Saccharomyces cerevisiae S288C: one gene and its partners. Changing the gene in region 1 together with any one later gene gives a genetic interaction. Each region holds a gene or a part of one and is shown in the gene's direction. Other genes may lie near its edges.

Evidence for each region. Genes that interact genetically often act in the same process or in processes that back each other up.
Region 2: mutations in MON1 (region 1) and ARP1 are lethal when combined (synthetic lethality), as found in Saccharomyces cerevisiae (4 studies listed by BioGRID, with this or other methods).
Region 3: mutations in MON1 (region 1) and VPS21 together harm fitness more than expected from each alone (negative genetic interaction), as found in Saccharomyces cerevisiae (4 studies listed by BioGRID, with this or other methods).

The regions. Positions count from the first base shown.
Region 1 is NC_001139.9:273,056-278,363, reverse strand, and holds MON1 (guanine nucleotide exchange factor MON1), read left to right. Parts: upstream 1-1,649; coding exon 1,650-3,584; downstream 3,585-5,308. Other genes in the region: 40S ribosomal protein uS5 RPS2, read right to left, coding at 1-747; methylenetetrahydrofolate reductase (NAD(P)H) MET13, read right to left, coding at 4,042-5,308. UniProt on the Saccharomyces cerevisiae protein: In complex with CCZ1, is required for multiple vacuole delivery pathways including the cytoplasm to vacuole transport (Cvt), autophagy, pexophagy and endocytosis.
Region 2 is NC_001140.6:361,828-366,279, reverse strand, and holds ARP1 (actin-related protein 1), read left to right. Parts: upstream 1-2,126; coding exon 2,127-3,281; downstream 3,282-4,452. Other genes in the region: YHR131C (uncharacterized protein), read left to right, coding at 1-940; YHR130C (uncharacterized protein), read left to right, coding at 980-1,315; FUR1 (uracil phosphoribosyltransferase), read right to left, coding at 3,515-4,165. UniProt on the Saccharomyces cerevisiae protein: Core component of the dynactin complex which assists cytoplasmic dynein by increasing its processivity and by regulation of its cargo binding.
Region 3 is NC_001147.6:489,025-493,233, reverse strand, and holds VPS21 (Rab family GTPase VPS21), read left to right. Parts: upstream 1-2,405; coding exon 2,406-3,038; downstream 3,039-4,209. Other genes in the region: type 2C protein phosphatase PTC5, read left to right, coding at 393-2,111; YVC1 (Yvc1p), read right to left, coding at 3,500-4,209.

The DNA.
Region 1 (5,308 bases):
AGCAGAAGCTTCATCGGAGTAGATGTCCAATGGAGAAACTGGCAATGGTTGTTCGGCCCACAAGTTTGGAGTCAAGAAACCGTATGTGTTACCAATAGCAACGAAAGCAGCCTTCAAGGTGTTTTCCAAAGTTCTAGTCTTACCGTTAGATTGGGTGTAGACATCTTCAACACCAGCCAATTGCAACAACTTTTTGACAGCTGGAGAAGCGACGATACCAGAACCTCTTGGGGCTGGGATCAATCTAACAGTGACGGAACCACACTTACCAGTGGTCTTGGTGGCCAAAGAATGTGGTTGACCCAAGTTGGTACCCCAGTAACCTCTTCTGATTGGGATAACGGACAACTTGGCAATAATGATACCAGCTCTGATGGCACCAGCAACTTCCTTGGCGGTCTTGATACCCAAACCAACGTGACCGTTAGAGTCACCAACAACGACAACAGCCTTAAATCTGGTTCTTTGACCGGCTCTGGTTTGCTTTTGAACTGGCTTGATGTTCATGACTTCGTCTTGCAAACCTGGCAACAAAGTGTCAATGATTTGGAATTCCTTGACTGGCAAAGAGTGCAAGAAGATTTCTTCAATGGTGGTAATCTTACCAGCCTTGACTAATCTACCTAGTTTGGTAACTGGAACCCATCCCTTTTCTTCAGTGTTTCTTGGTCCTCTTCTGTTTGGACGGCCTCTGTTACGGCCACCGAAACCACCTCTCTTTTGTTGTTGAGCTTCTGGAGCAGACATTACTTAATTAGTTGAGCTTATTGGTTGTTTGTTATAGTCGGAATGGAACACGGAAAGTTGATGTAGGTAACTTTCAATCGACAATATATAAAGAACACGGTTTCTTTGGGATTGAAAAGGTATCAAGCAGTAAGGAAGGAAATTGGAAACAAAGGAAGAGAAAGTCTGAATTAAAAACTTGAAAACTCTTACGTTACTACAGAGGGGAATAGATGAAAAAATAGCTAGGCGTCCTGGGAAGCTGCGTGCAATACTAAGGCAGGACAGATACCTACGTTACCTCGTTAATGATGACATGCGTTTTCCATCAAATGTTTGCGTCCAGTTCCATTATCACAAATCTTAAAATTCAAACAAGTAAATAATCCCATAGAGCGGGTGTATGGGTCTAGCTTAAATACACCCAACCATATTTAGAAAGCAGTCTTCTAAACCAAACAATCGCATGCCGACGTAGAAAACTATTAAGAAAACCTTAAGAATCCTTAGTGAATAAGCCAATTACTAAAATACGTGTAAACCTTCTTCGCGTCGAAAAGCAGTTCAAGCTCACATCCCGGATCTTTAATGAATATGGTTGGGCCCAATCAAAGATTTCCCGTCAAGTCTTTGCCAATGCTAAACAATAGTATCTTGCAATAGTGATCGTAAACCGTAACCTTATATTTACGTAGTAAGGCTAGTATGCGTACCTTTATCCCTGATTAACAACATATCCTAATTCTTTTAGTCTTTCTTCTTATTTTGCTTACATAAAATGGTATTACTAGGCTCCATCGTTCTATCTCGTAGGGCTGAAATAAAGGATAAAAACCGCGGTACGAGACAAAGATAGTAGTGAATACGAATTGAATAAAAAAGTCTATCAAAGTACACAAACGTAGAATCAGTACATCGGAACTATGAATCTCAATGAAAGCTACCTAGATGCTGAGATACCGAAGGGTCAATTGAAGCATAGTAAAAGTGGGAATTTTGAGGGTATTCCAATCGTGGCAACGACTTCAGAACCAACGACATCGGTTAATCTAGATGAAACATTCTTCAAGAAGGCGCCTATAGCAATGCCAATATGCGATGATCATTCTGTTAGTAAATCTACCTCTGTAAATTCTTTGAATACAACATCTTTGGCATCCAGAAGATCTCCTTTGCAAACAAAAAAATTGCAAGCTAAAAATAATTTATTGTCAGCAGATTTGGCAAAGAGCAATGATGATACAACGAGAGCACTAAACAGTCCAAAAAAGGATTTCGGTCCTTATTTGGACAGCGAGAATGACATCAGGAGTCGCTTGGCCGAAAGCATATATTCTATGGAAACATCTATAAGAGGATCGGAACTACAGAGACGGCCGTACGTAAGTAACGAAATTCCTAATGTATTCAAGTTTTCGAAGTTCAATAGTAACTGCAAGTTAAATGAGAGCCAGACTCTCTGTGACAAAAATTTCTTCATATTCACGTCAGCGGGTAAACCGATCTATTGCATGCACGGCAAAGATGAACAGATCATGTCATATACAGGGCTCGTTAATACGGTAATAAGCTACTTCCAAGTCAATGGACCATCGGAATTGAAAACTATATCCACTTTAACTTCTGGTAAAAGGCTTACTTTTTTGGATAAATCACCTATATTACTAATGGCTCAATCCGAAAGAGGCGAGTCCTCGAACGAATTGTTGAATCAGTTGGATTTTTTATATTCGTATATTCTTTCGTCTTTAAGTGAACGCCAATTACTTAGGTTATTTTCCAAAAGAGAAAATTTCGACCTGAGAAATTATCTAGAAAGCACAGATTTTGAAAATTTAGACGAAATATGTTCACTAATCTGTAACAGAATGTTCCCGGATTTACTATTGAACTCTTTACAATGCTTACCATTTAACCATTCTTCAAGATTAAAGTTGCAGAATGTGGTTTTACAGCAACTGGAGAAAAGGCAGGACATTCCCAGGGGGACCTTACTGTACGGCTTGATAATTGCGCCTCAGAATAAATTGTGCTGTGTTCTTCGACCCAGAGGCCATACTTTACACACTACAGATTTACATCTTCTATTTTGCCTAATATCTCATCAATTTCAAAATTTAGACGAAACTCAGGAACTTTGGGTACCCATTTGTTTTCCCAAGTTCAATTCGAGTGGTTTTCTTTATTGTTATATTAAGTTTCTACCTAATGATACTCACAGCAATGAGAAATCGGCACTAGTATTAATAAGTGCACAAAAGGATGCATTCTTTTCATTGAAGTCGTTTAGTGACGAGTTGATTATTAAACTCGAAGAAGAGAAGCTATTGAAAAAGATAAATACTTCAAAAGGGTTCAAGCTTAGCGATATACCAGCACCAATGGTTCATCATTTCATATATAAATCGAAGCAAAACGTTCAATATGTTATGCCGCACTTCGAAGTCAACAGTAACATCGCACTGGATTCTTCACAGGGGCTAGAATATGAATTGAAATTGAAGACATACTACCAACAGTTACATGGCACGGTAGTGAGAGATAATGGCAATTTGTTAAGTAGGTCTATGTTAAATTTTGTTAGATGGAGTTCCAAAGACAATGAGGACTTGGCGATGGACGAAACACAAATGGATTTTTCTGAATTGGATGAGTACATTATTGGAAATTCATCATTCAAACAAGAATCGGTTAATATGGTAGGAATGGCGTGGGTGACGCCCACTTTTGAATTGTATCTGATTGGAAATAATGGGATTGTTGACAAAAGGGTTTTATTCAAGAGTGCGAGAAAAGTAGCTAATTGGTGTCAAAAACACGAGTCGAGACTATTTATAAGTGATGGGGCCGTGTTTTAACTTGTGACAGGGAGGTTATTTTATTATTTTTTCCTTTAATTTGTAAATATATCTATAAGAGTATATATATATATATATATAGGTATACATACATGTGAAAATGTAAGTACTTTTAGTGTTCTTCCTTTTCGAGTATGTTGAATATGAAGAGAATAAATAAATGAAGGAAGAGGGTGTTGAACTATTTTAAAGTACCTTTAAAAAACTTTGTTGAAAGTATGAGAAGAAATGAAAGGATTTTCCTGAAAAAAAAGAAGGGGTGTTAACCAAACACATGTTGAAATGCTAGTTAAAAAAGAATGGTAAAACAATGGAAAAGGAAGGAGCAAAATCTGGTAAAAAAGAAGAACCATAATAATAGTGAATAAAAAAAAAAAAATGCAATGTAATGTTGAATGTAATGCAAAGAGGGGGGGTTGACAATTCTGTTAAAGAACTGTTATCGTTGTCTGTGTTATTATAGGCTTAGTAGGATGGAATGGATTTGATCATCTGGAGAAATGTAGTCATTGTCAACAATATTGACCAAGCAGTAATCGTCAATCAAGGACTGAATGAATTGGGCACTATGCGGTTTATCGTATTTATTCATGTTTAGTTTCCATTCATTCAAGATATGATAGAACTCCTCCTTCCACGCTAAGAACGAAATTTTCTCGACAATGGTAGGTTGAAGAATTTCTCTGCCGGGGAAAATACCCCAAGTCACAGCGTTGGACTTGGAGTTGTCTGGATGATTACTTAGCAGGTCACCTTGAGAGTCGATGGCGAAGTAGGTCAAGAACTCATTGTTTTTCAAGGTGTCAATCAACTTGGGCAACTTAGTCTTGGGCAACATAAATTCCAAATATTGCTTCTGGTAAACGTAACCATCCTTGGGTCCCCAACCATGAATTTTGTCATTGGACCTAATGCCGTTGACTTGAGGTTGAGAGTTTATAGTGATGATAGAATGCTGGTTCAGCTCAATCAAGTGTGCTTTGATTGGATTTATTTCATCATTGATGGGGATATCACTCCAAGGTAAACACTTCAAGTTTCCATTCAAGTAGTTGATGACCAAGAAGGCGACGTCGTTGATGGAAGTAGGGGTGGACCATAATTCGAGACATTTGTTCGCTGATTGCCTGATCAAGTCTGAACCACACAGATCCAAGTCACCGAACGCAGGAGAAGACGAATCACCGAATCTACCGTTGGGGAATTCGTCCACGGCCCATTGAGAGGTTCTTGCGACATAGGAGTAAGGTCTTCTCTTCCAGAAGATAGGTCTGACTTCCTCGTTTTTACGCTTTGGATTCAAAGATTTTCTCCATGGCAACACGGCCAATGGATGTGCATTGAACTCTGATTCCGTAGGTAGAATGTTCAATCTTTCCAGAATCATGAGAGGCGCTTTTTCCAAGTTCATGGTGTAGATGTGCAAGTGAGAAACGTAACCACTGTCGAGCAATTTTTGACACATTTCCACGATCAAGTTAGTTCCGATATCACGGACCAACTCGTCATCGTCCTTGATAGGATCCAATCGGGACGAGAAATGTTGAGGGATGGAGATTTGGCCCCATTGGGCCCTTCTCAAGAAGGCCGCGTAGGTAGTGATCGGCATGATCCCGGGAATAATGGGCACGTCCATGCCCGCAGCTCTAACTTGGGAACACCAGTTGATGAAATTATCAACATCGTAAAACATCTGAGTGATGATGAAGTCGCCGCCGGCGTCG
Region 2 (4,452 bases), on another chromosome or scaffold:
ATCAGTTCATTCACCCTCTCCTATTGAGCATCTTTCCGTTGATGGCTGCGAGATTATGCTGCAATCACAAAATGCGGTTATGAAAGAGGAATTACGGAGTGTTGCGTCGAATTTGGTAGCCAATGAAAGGGATGAGGCATCTATTAGACCTAAACCTCAAAGCTCTTCGATATACCTATCAGGATTAGCTCCTAATGGGGAATCCGCCACAGATTTATCCCAAAGCAGTAGGTCGTTATGTCTCACAAACCGTGACGCTGAAATCAATGACGATGAAAGCGCTACTGAGACCGATGAGGACGAAAATGACGGTGAAACCGATGAATATGCTGGCGATGATACTAATGATGATACTGATGACAGTAATATTGGTTATGCTTATGGCAGTGAAAGTGATTATTCATGTTTAATTGAAGAACGAATAAGAAATCGAAGGCGAGCATCTTCTACTCTAAGTTGCTTCTCCAATATACCTTACGGAACGGATGATATTAAATGGAAACCAGCTATTAAGGAAATTTCAAGAAGGCGTTATTTGAGGGATTCTCTGAAGTGCATCAAACCATTTCTAGATAGTAACGACTGTTTGGGTAAGGTTATCTATATTCCAGTTTCGGGACCAACCTTTGAAACAAGTAATAAAATTCACTTTAGCAACCGCCAGAGCTTACAGAAGCAGAAGAATCATTTTTTAAAAGGCTTCATCGTGGGACCTACGGCGTTGATAGAACTTAATTGTAAAAATAAGAATGCAATTGTTGGAACAACAAAGGACGCTGAAGATCATGGGGAGGACGACGGTGACGGTGATGATGGTGAGGATGATGATGACGACGACGACGATGATGATGATGATGACGACGACGAAGACGACGACGATGATGATGATGATGATGATGACGACGACGATGACGATGATGATGGACAGATTACTGCATAAGCTGTGATGCAGTAATCTTGTTTTTGCAGAATTAATATCATGACTAAAAGTATATATATTATCATCGGATATATGCTACATGATGAGGAGTTTTTCTATTTCTTTTTTATTTCATTCTATACACTTTGGATCGTGTTTTTTCTTTTGCACTTGAGTTTCTTTTCAACATTATCATTCGGTATATTTCACGATTTTGACACCGATGTTTACATAAAAGTGGGTAATTATATTTTGCATTTTCTCGAATTGAGTAAAAATAGTAACCTTTTAAAGAATTCTTCAGAAATGTTAAAGCATTTCCGATTGGCATCATTGATGTATATGTACGTATATACTCAGATGATTTGCCCCTCGTTACTTGGCATCAGGAATTAGCAAGGGCTGTAAAAAATAAGTTTAAATATATATAAATGGTTGCGAACTAAGACAGTATTGTTTTCAACTATTACTTTGTCATTGACTAGTCTATACAAACTAATGATTTTCTACTAGGTCTTACTTCGATTTCTCGACACCGTACTCCAAGAGCTAAAGCTTTCAATACGTATGGATTGCTTCGTTGCTCAGAAAGGTTAACATTAATCATTTTAAGGTTTTTGTTTATAGACAGTACTTTATTTTCGCTTCATTTTTCCAGTTTATATTTCAATTTAACAAAGGCAATGCCTCTAATTTCAAACAAGCAACATAATACAGTATTTATTGATCAACGTTTGATTAGAAGTTGAATTTTGAATGGGTATCGTCTGGTAATTCCAAAGAATAAAAGAAATACCTGTTTTACCATGATAAACAGTGTTTATTATACCACGTTAAAAATCATTTCTTGAAGGTAACGCTTTCATCAACCTATAATAAGACTACAGAAAAAAGCTCATAAAAGAATGCTAAGTAGCATAATGTTCTGAACAAGAGCTCAAAGCAAAGGACACAGTACACCTGTGTGACGGTGAGTTTCCTATTGCCTTCTCTTTTTCCGTTTGTATTAATCTTTTCAAGAAAAAGTTCATTTCCAAAGTGGCCATTTTCGCGATGCACATCAATAATGATAAACACCTTTATTGAATAATAGCGAAGCAAATAGCAGATATTCCCAATAAAACAGCAAATTAATAAAAGGGCATAGACCAAGGAGTACATGCTAATGCTATACCACGAATTGAGGAATTAGAAAGAAAGTTAGCCAATGGACCAGCTAAGTGACAGCTATGCTTTGTACAATCAACCGGTAGTGATCGACAATGGTTCTGGGATCATAAAAGCAGGATTTAGTGGTGAGGAAAGGCCTAAAGCACTGGAATATTGTCTCGTAGGAAATACCAAATATGATAAAGTTATGCTCGAAGGTCTGCAAGGAGATACATTTATTGGAAACAATGCCCAAAAACTGCGTGGATTATTAAAATTACGATACCCCATAAAGCACGGCGTGGTGGAAGATTGGGATTCTATGGAACTAATATGGTCATATGTGTTAAATGAAGTCCTACAGTTGCAAAATATAGGTGAGCATCCTTTATTAATTACGGAAGCCCCGATGAATCCTTTGAAGAATAGAGAGCAGATGGCTCAAGTATTGTTCGAGACCTTTGACGTATCGGCTTTGTACGTTTCAAACCCTGCTGTTCTGTCATTATATGCTAGTGGGAGAACTACAGGTTGTGTAGTTGACTGTGGTGAAGGATACTGTAGCACTGTTCCCATATATGACGGCTTTGCATTACCTGCGTCTATGATGAGGATGGATATTGGAGGAGCAGATATCACAGAGCAGTTACAATTTCAACTACGGAAATCAGCTGGTGTTTCGTTGTTTTCCAGCAGTGAACGAGAGATTGTTCGCACGATGAAAGAGAAAGTTTGTTATTTGGCCAAGAATATTAAAAAGGAAGAGGAGAAATACTTACAAGGTACTCAAGATTTAATCTCGACATTCAAATTGCCCGACGGGAGGTGTATAGAGGTGGGGAATGATCGATATCGTGCTCCAGAAATATTATTTTCACCTCAAATCATCGGCTTAGGGTACGATGGATTATCTGATATGTGCATGCAATCTATTTGGAAAGTCGATCTGGATTTAAGGAAACCTTTACTGTCATCGATAATCCTAAGTGGCGGAACTACAACGCTTAAAGGCTTTGGAGACCGAATGCTATGGGATTTGGAGGCATTAACCAAAGGAACATCCAAGATAAAGATTATAGCCCCTTCAGAAAGAAAATATACTACATGGATTGGTGGTTCTATTTTAACGGGGTTATCTACCTTTCAAAGACTTTGGACCAAAAAGTCAGATTGGCTAGAGGACAGTACCCGTGTTTATTCGAACCTAATGTAAGAAACAGAGTCGTTAGATTTTTCAAGCATATTTGTTATAAATAGCCATTGATACGTTTATATTATTTTTACAAAAAAAGGTAATTAAACATGCATGAACAACAAAATTGATAGTAGAAGAGACGGCAACAAAGGTTTAAAACGAGAAAGGAAATTTAAAACAGTAGAAACCAAAAGTTGATATGCGGCTTCAGCCGTTCTGAACCTTCAAGATGGTGTTCGGGTGTGATTTATTTAAACACAGTAGTATCTGTCACCAAAGTCACCCAACCCTGGAACTAGATACTTGTTTTCATCTAGACCTCTGTCGAGGGCACCAGTAACAATTCTGACCTCTGGGAAGGCGGCATGGTATTTTTCAATCCCTTCCTTACTACAGATTAGGTTTAAGAAGTAAATTCTCTCTGGCTTAACACCTCTCTTAATCAAGACTTCTGTAGCCATGATAGCACTACCACCGGTGGCCAGCATTGGGTCTAATAGGAAGACATACCTTTCAGATATATCCTCTGGTAATTTTTCGTAGAATAACTTTGGTAAAGCAGTCTCCTCGTCCCTTTGAATTAAAATTTTACCGATACGCACAGACCTACAACAGTCTCTTAATCCTTGCTCCATCGATTCACCAGCTCTGACAATGGAAACACCACAGATTTTACCCATGAATGAGACACCTTCGAAGTTTTCGTTGGTGTCAGTTTCCACAATTTGCTTTTGCACAGGTAGATGGTTCAAACCTTCTTCAACCAACAATCTGATGATTCTATCGGAGTAGAAAATGAAATCAGGTCTAGTTGTATTCTTATTTCTGATGATGGTGTACAAACCCAGCAATTGGTTTGTTTGAGGTAGCAAGTAGACGTTCTTAAATGGTTCCGAAGACATTTTTTGCAGATTTCTAGGTTTGCTAACGAAAGACCCTTTGTTTGGATAATATATAAGATATGTAAGGTACAAGAATGGAGAAGCCAAAAAGAATAACGGGTTCATGGTTCAAGAAGAAATGAAGCTAGTATTGGAAGAGGATTCTTACCAATATATATATCTCTTTTGAGGCAGCTTTGAAAGAAGAAGTGAAAAAAAAAAAAATTTTGAAAAAAAAGACGGAAAGGGAAAAGTCCGCCGGAGATAATTACAACTGTCGATTTTTTATGCGATGAGATAAGCTTATA
Region 3 (4,209 bases), on another chromosome or scaffold:
CAATTCATTTCCTCCACTAGTCTCCAACTTAAGAAATACTCTCAGAGGTTGCAATCTTGTGCTGTTCAGGGTGTGATGGGCAGCATTGACTAAATTTCCTTATCCCTTGCATAGTTACATTCTTAGTTATCAGGTATTGGCGACCAATTGCATACATTTTTATTTTCTACTTTAAAACTCAGTAATGAGCAGTTACCGGCCCTTCATTATGTAGAAAAACAGGATTCACTTCTTTCTACACAAGATACAAAAAAGAAAAAAAGGATCGATTGGAGGGTAAACGAAATCGTGTGATAGGCAGGAAAAGAAACATCTATTGCTACTTTAATTGAATTTGTGCTCTACTGAAATTTTTCAACAGAAGAAGTGCTTTTACTTCTCTCAATCTCTCCATGTCTCCCTTAACTAGAACCGTAGCTATAAAGAAAACGGTTAAGGTTCTATCTAAATGTCAATCTGGTAGAGAATACACACAGAAGTTTCTCCAACGTGCATATTCAACATCACATGCCAACAGCACATACTATTCAAGGACAAAGCTATTCATATCATCACATTCTAAAGCTCTAAACATTGCTCTACTAAGCGGGTCCCTACTGTTGACCTACTCCTACTATTCCCCTAAAAAGATCCTCTCCCTTGATACAATTAACGGAATAAAAGATTATTCTACAAATACTAGTGGTAACATTAACATGCCGTCACCTAATCCAAAAGGAACAGAGACACAAAAGAGTCAACGGTCTCAGAATGACCAATCTGTTCTTATCTTGAACGATTCTAAAATAGAGGCTAAACTACATGATAGAGAGGAAAGCCATTTTGTTAACCGTGGCACTGGTATATTCAGGTATGATGTGGCACAGTTGCCCTCTAACCATCCAATAGAAGACGATCACGTAGAACAAATCATTACCATTCCGATAGAAAGTGAGGATGGCAAGTCCATAGAGAAGGATTTGTATTTTTTTGGAATTTTTGATGGACATGGTGGTCCTTTCACTTCGGAAAAATTATCTAAAGATCTAGTCCGTTATGTAGCGTATCAATTAGGTCAGGTATATGACCAGAACAAAACGGTTTTCCATTCCGACCCCAACCAATTAATCGATTCTGCAATTTCGAAAGGTTTTTTGAAACTAGATAATGATCTTGTAATCGAATCGTTCAGGAAGCTGTTTCAAGATCCAAACAACACAAATATTGCAAACACTTTACCAGCGATTTCTGGTTCTTGTGCACTATTAAGTTTATACAACTCCACTAACTCAATTTTGAAAGTGGCTGTCACTGGAGACTCAAGGGCTTTAATTTGTGGTTTGGACAACGAGGGCAATTGGACGGTAAAGTCGCTATCCACCGACCAGACCGGTGATAATTTGGATGAAGTACGGAGAATTAGGAAAGAACATCCAGGAGAACCAAACGTTATAAGAAACGGAAGAATATTGGGTTCATTACAACCATCCAGGGCATTTGGAGACTATCGCTACAAGATCAAAGAAGTCGATGGAAAACCATTATCGGATTTGCCTGAAGTTGCCAAACTTTATTTTAGAAGAGAGCCAAGGGATTTCAAGACACCCCCATATGTCACTGCGGAACCAGTGATTACTTCTGCCAAAATTGGTGAGAACACTAAATTTATGGTGATGGGTTCGGATGGTTTATTCGAATTACTAACTAATGAAGAAATTGCTTCCTTGGTTATCAGGTGGATGGATAAAAATATGAATCTGGCACCTGTGAAGGCAGAACCGGGGAAATTACCAAAAGTTATCGATGTATCTGAAGACAAGGAAGCACAAAGACCGGCATTCAGGTACAAGGATAATAATTCGAGCTCACCATCAGGATCAAACCCAGAGTATCTTATTGAAGACAAAAACGTCGCCACTCATTTAATTAGAAATGCATTAAGTGCGGGCGGAAGAAAAGAATATGTATCGGCATTGGTAAGTATACCATCGCCGATGAGTAGAAGATACAGAGATGACTTGACAGTAACAGTGGCGTTCTTTGGTGATTCTGGAACACCCTCAATTGTCTCCAATGCTACTTCAATAGTTATGAACCCGGAGGCAACAACAAAGCCAAAACCTAGATTATGACGATATAAACTTATGCTGAGGTAGGTATATACCAGAGGATTTATTTTATAGATATTAGTCTGCTGATTATCTAGTTTCTTGTCACCTCATACGTGTTTTTTTTTTTTTTGGTTTTCTCGGTTTGCATTATGGGGCTTTTTGCTAAAACAATATCCCCGAAAAGACAAAGAAAGAGAAGTGAGGTGAAAATACGAGCAGCTTATCTTATAAAAGTGGCAACGATTTTAAAAATAAAAAGCAAGATCGTCGACTTATCTAAGCTATAAAAAAATATCCCTTTTATCACACAAAAAAATGAACACATCAGTCACTTCCATAAAGTTGGTACTGTTGGGTGAGGCAGCAGTTGGTAAATCGTCAATAGTCCTAAGGTTTGTATCTAATGATTTTGCCGAAAATAAGGAGCCCACCATTGGTGCAGCATTCCTCACTCAAAGAGTTACTATAAATGAACATACTGTTAAGTTTGAAATATGGGACACTGCTGGGCAAGAGAGATTTGCATCTTTAGCACCTATGTACTATAGAAACGCACAAGCTGCTCTTGTAGTATACGACGTTACAAAACCACAATCCTTTATTAAAGCGCGCCACTGGGTTAAGGAATTACATGAACAGGCATCAAAGGATATCATCATTGCGTTAGTTGGTAACAAGATCGATATGCTGCAAGAAGGTGGGGAAAGAAAAGTCGCAAGGGAAGAAGGTGAAAAGCTAGCGGAAGAAAAGGGCTTGTTGTTCTTTGAAACAAGTGCAAAGACAGGAGAGAATGTTAACGATGTATTTTTGGGAATCGGTGAAAAGATACCACTGAAGACGGCTGAAGAGCAAAATAGTGCAAGTAACGAACGTGAGTCGAACAATCAAAGAGTGGATTTGAACGCTGCTAATGATGGGACCAGCGCAAACAGTGCTTGCAGTTGTTAGAGAGGGGAAAATAAATATATATAAAAAAAAAGTCTGGGCAAATTGAGATAAATAGATCTTCAAAACGGGAAAGATGAAAGTCATAATTTATCGTACCTAGAAAGGAGAGGGAGTTTTCATTTTTTACCGTAATCGTTGTTTTTCTTTTCTTCTTATAATTTGTAAATTTTTTAACTGCATTAGATCATTATATTATCTTTCAAAACGCCAGTCGTTTTTATTAGACCTTTATATACGTTTCAAAGTGGTTTGTACACGTTAGTTTAGTTAAACTTTTGTTTTCATGTAGACCAAAATATAAACTTATTTTATGCCGAAAATCGGGAGATGGATTAGTTAATATTGTAAATAATGATAAATTAAAGGAACATTAAATTTACAAAGTTGCAATGAGGAGCAATATATATATATATATATGGATTTCTGAGAAATTAATTAAGCAGTATTTGAACACATGTCGTTTACTCTTTCTTATCCTTTATGTCTAATTTTTCGAGTAGATCGGTAATTACAGCTGTCAAGTTTTCCACTTTCTTAGTGAGCTCTTTGACTTCATCTTTATCTTCACCAGCATCATCTTCAGTGTCATCGTTATCATACTGTTCGAAGGAGGGACTGCATTTTTTAACGTTTTTATACCACTTCTTAGGGACTTTAAAATGGACATCTTCCTGCTCTGCTGTTCTTTGCAGTTTTAGCGAACGGGAATTCTTTAACTGGGTGGCTCTCATGCCAGAATTTCGGTTATCAGAAAACAAACCGTCATCATCATCCAAGTAGCCATCTGTCAAATCCCATGGAGTATCATATTCATTGGCATCATCGTTTAACCTTTTCATCCTGTTATATTTTATCCTTCTAGCCTCCCGAGTTTCTTTAACAGAAATAAGCAACAAAAATGGGCTGTACACTATTGTCATTACAGTATAGCTCAAATCTTTAGCACGCTTCGGTGGAAGAATACGAAAGATAGGTGTCATGAACACTTCAATTAAGTTCAATGGAGAAACATAGACATCTTCATCAGGTGCTCTAATGTATCTCAACGTCTTTTGTGACATCAAAGCCATGTACTCGTCATCTGCATTGTCAATAACTTTTTGGTACGCAGTCGAATACAAAGCAATTAATATATTCAAAAGGATAACCGAAACAATAAAATAGTAACCAT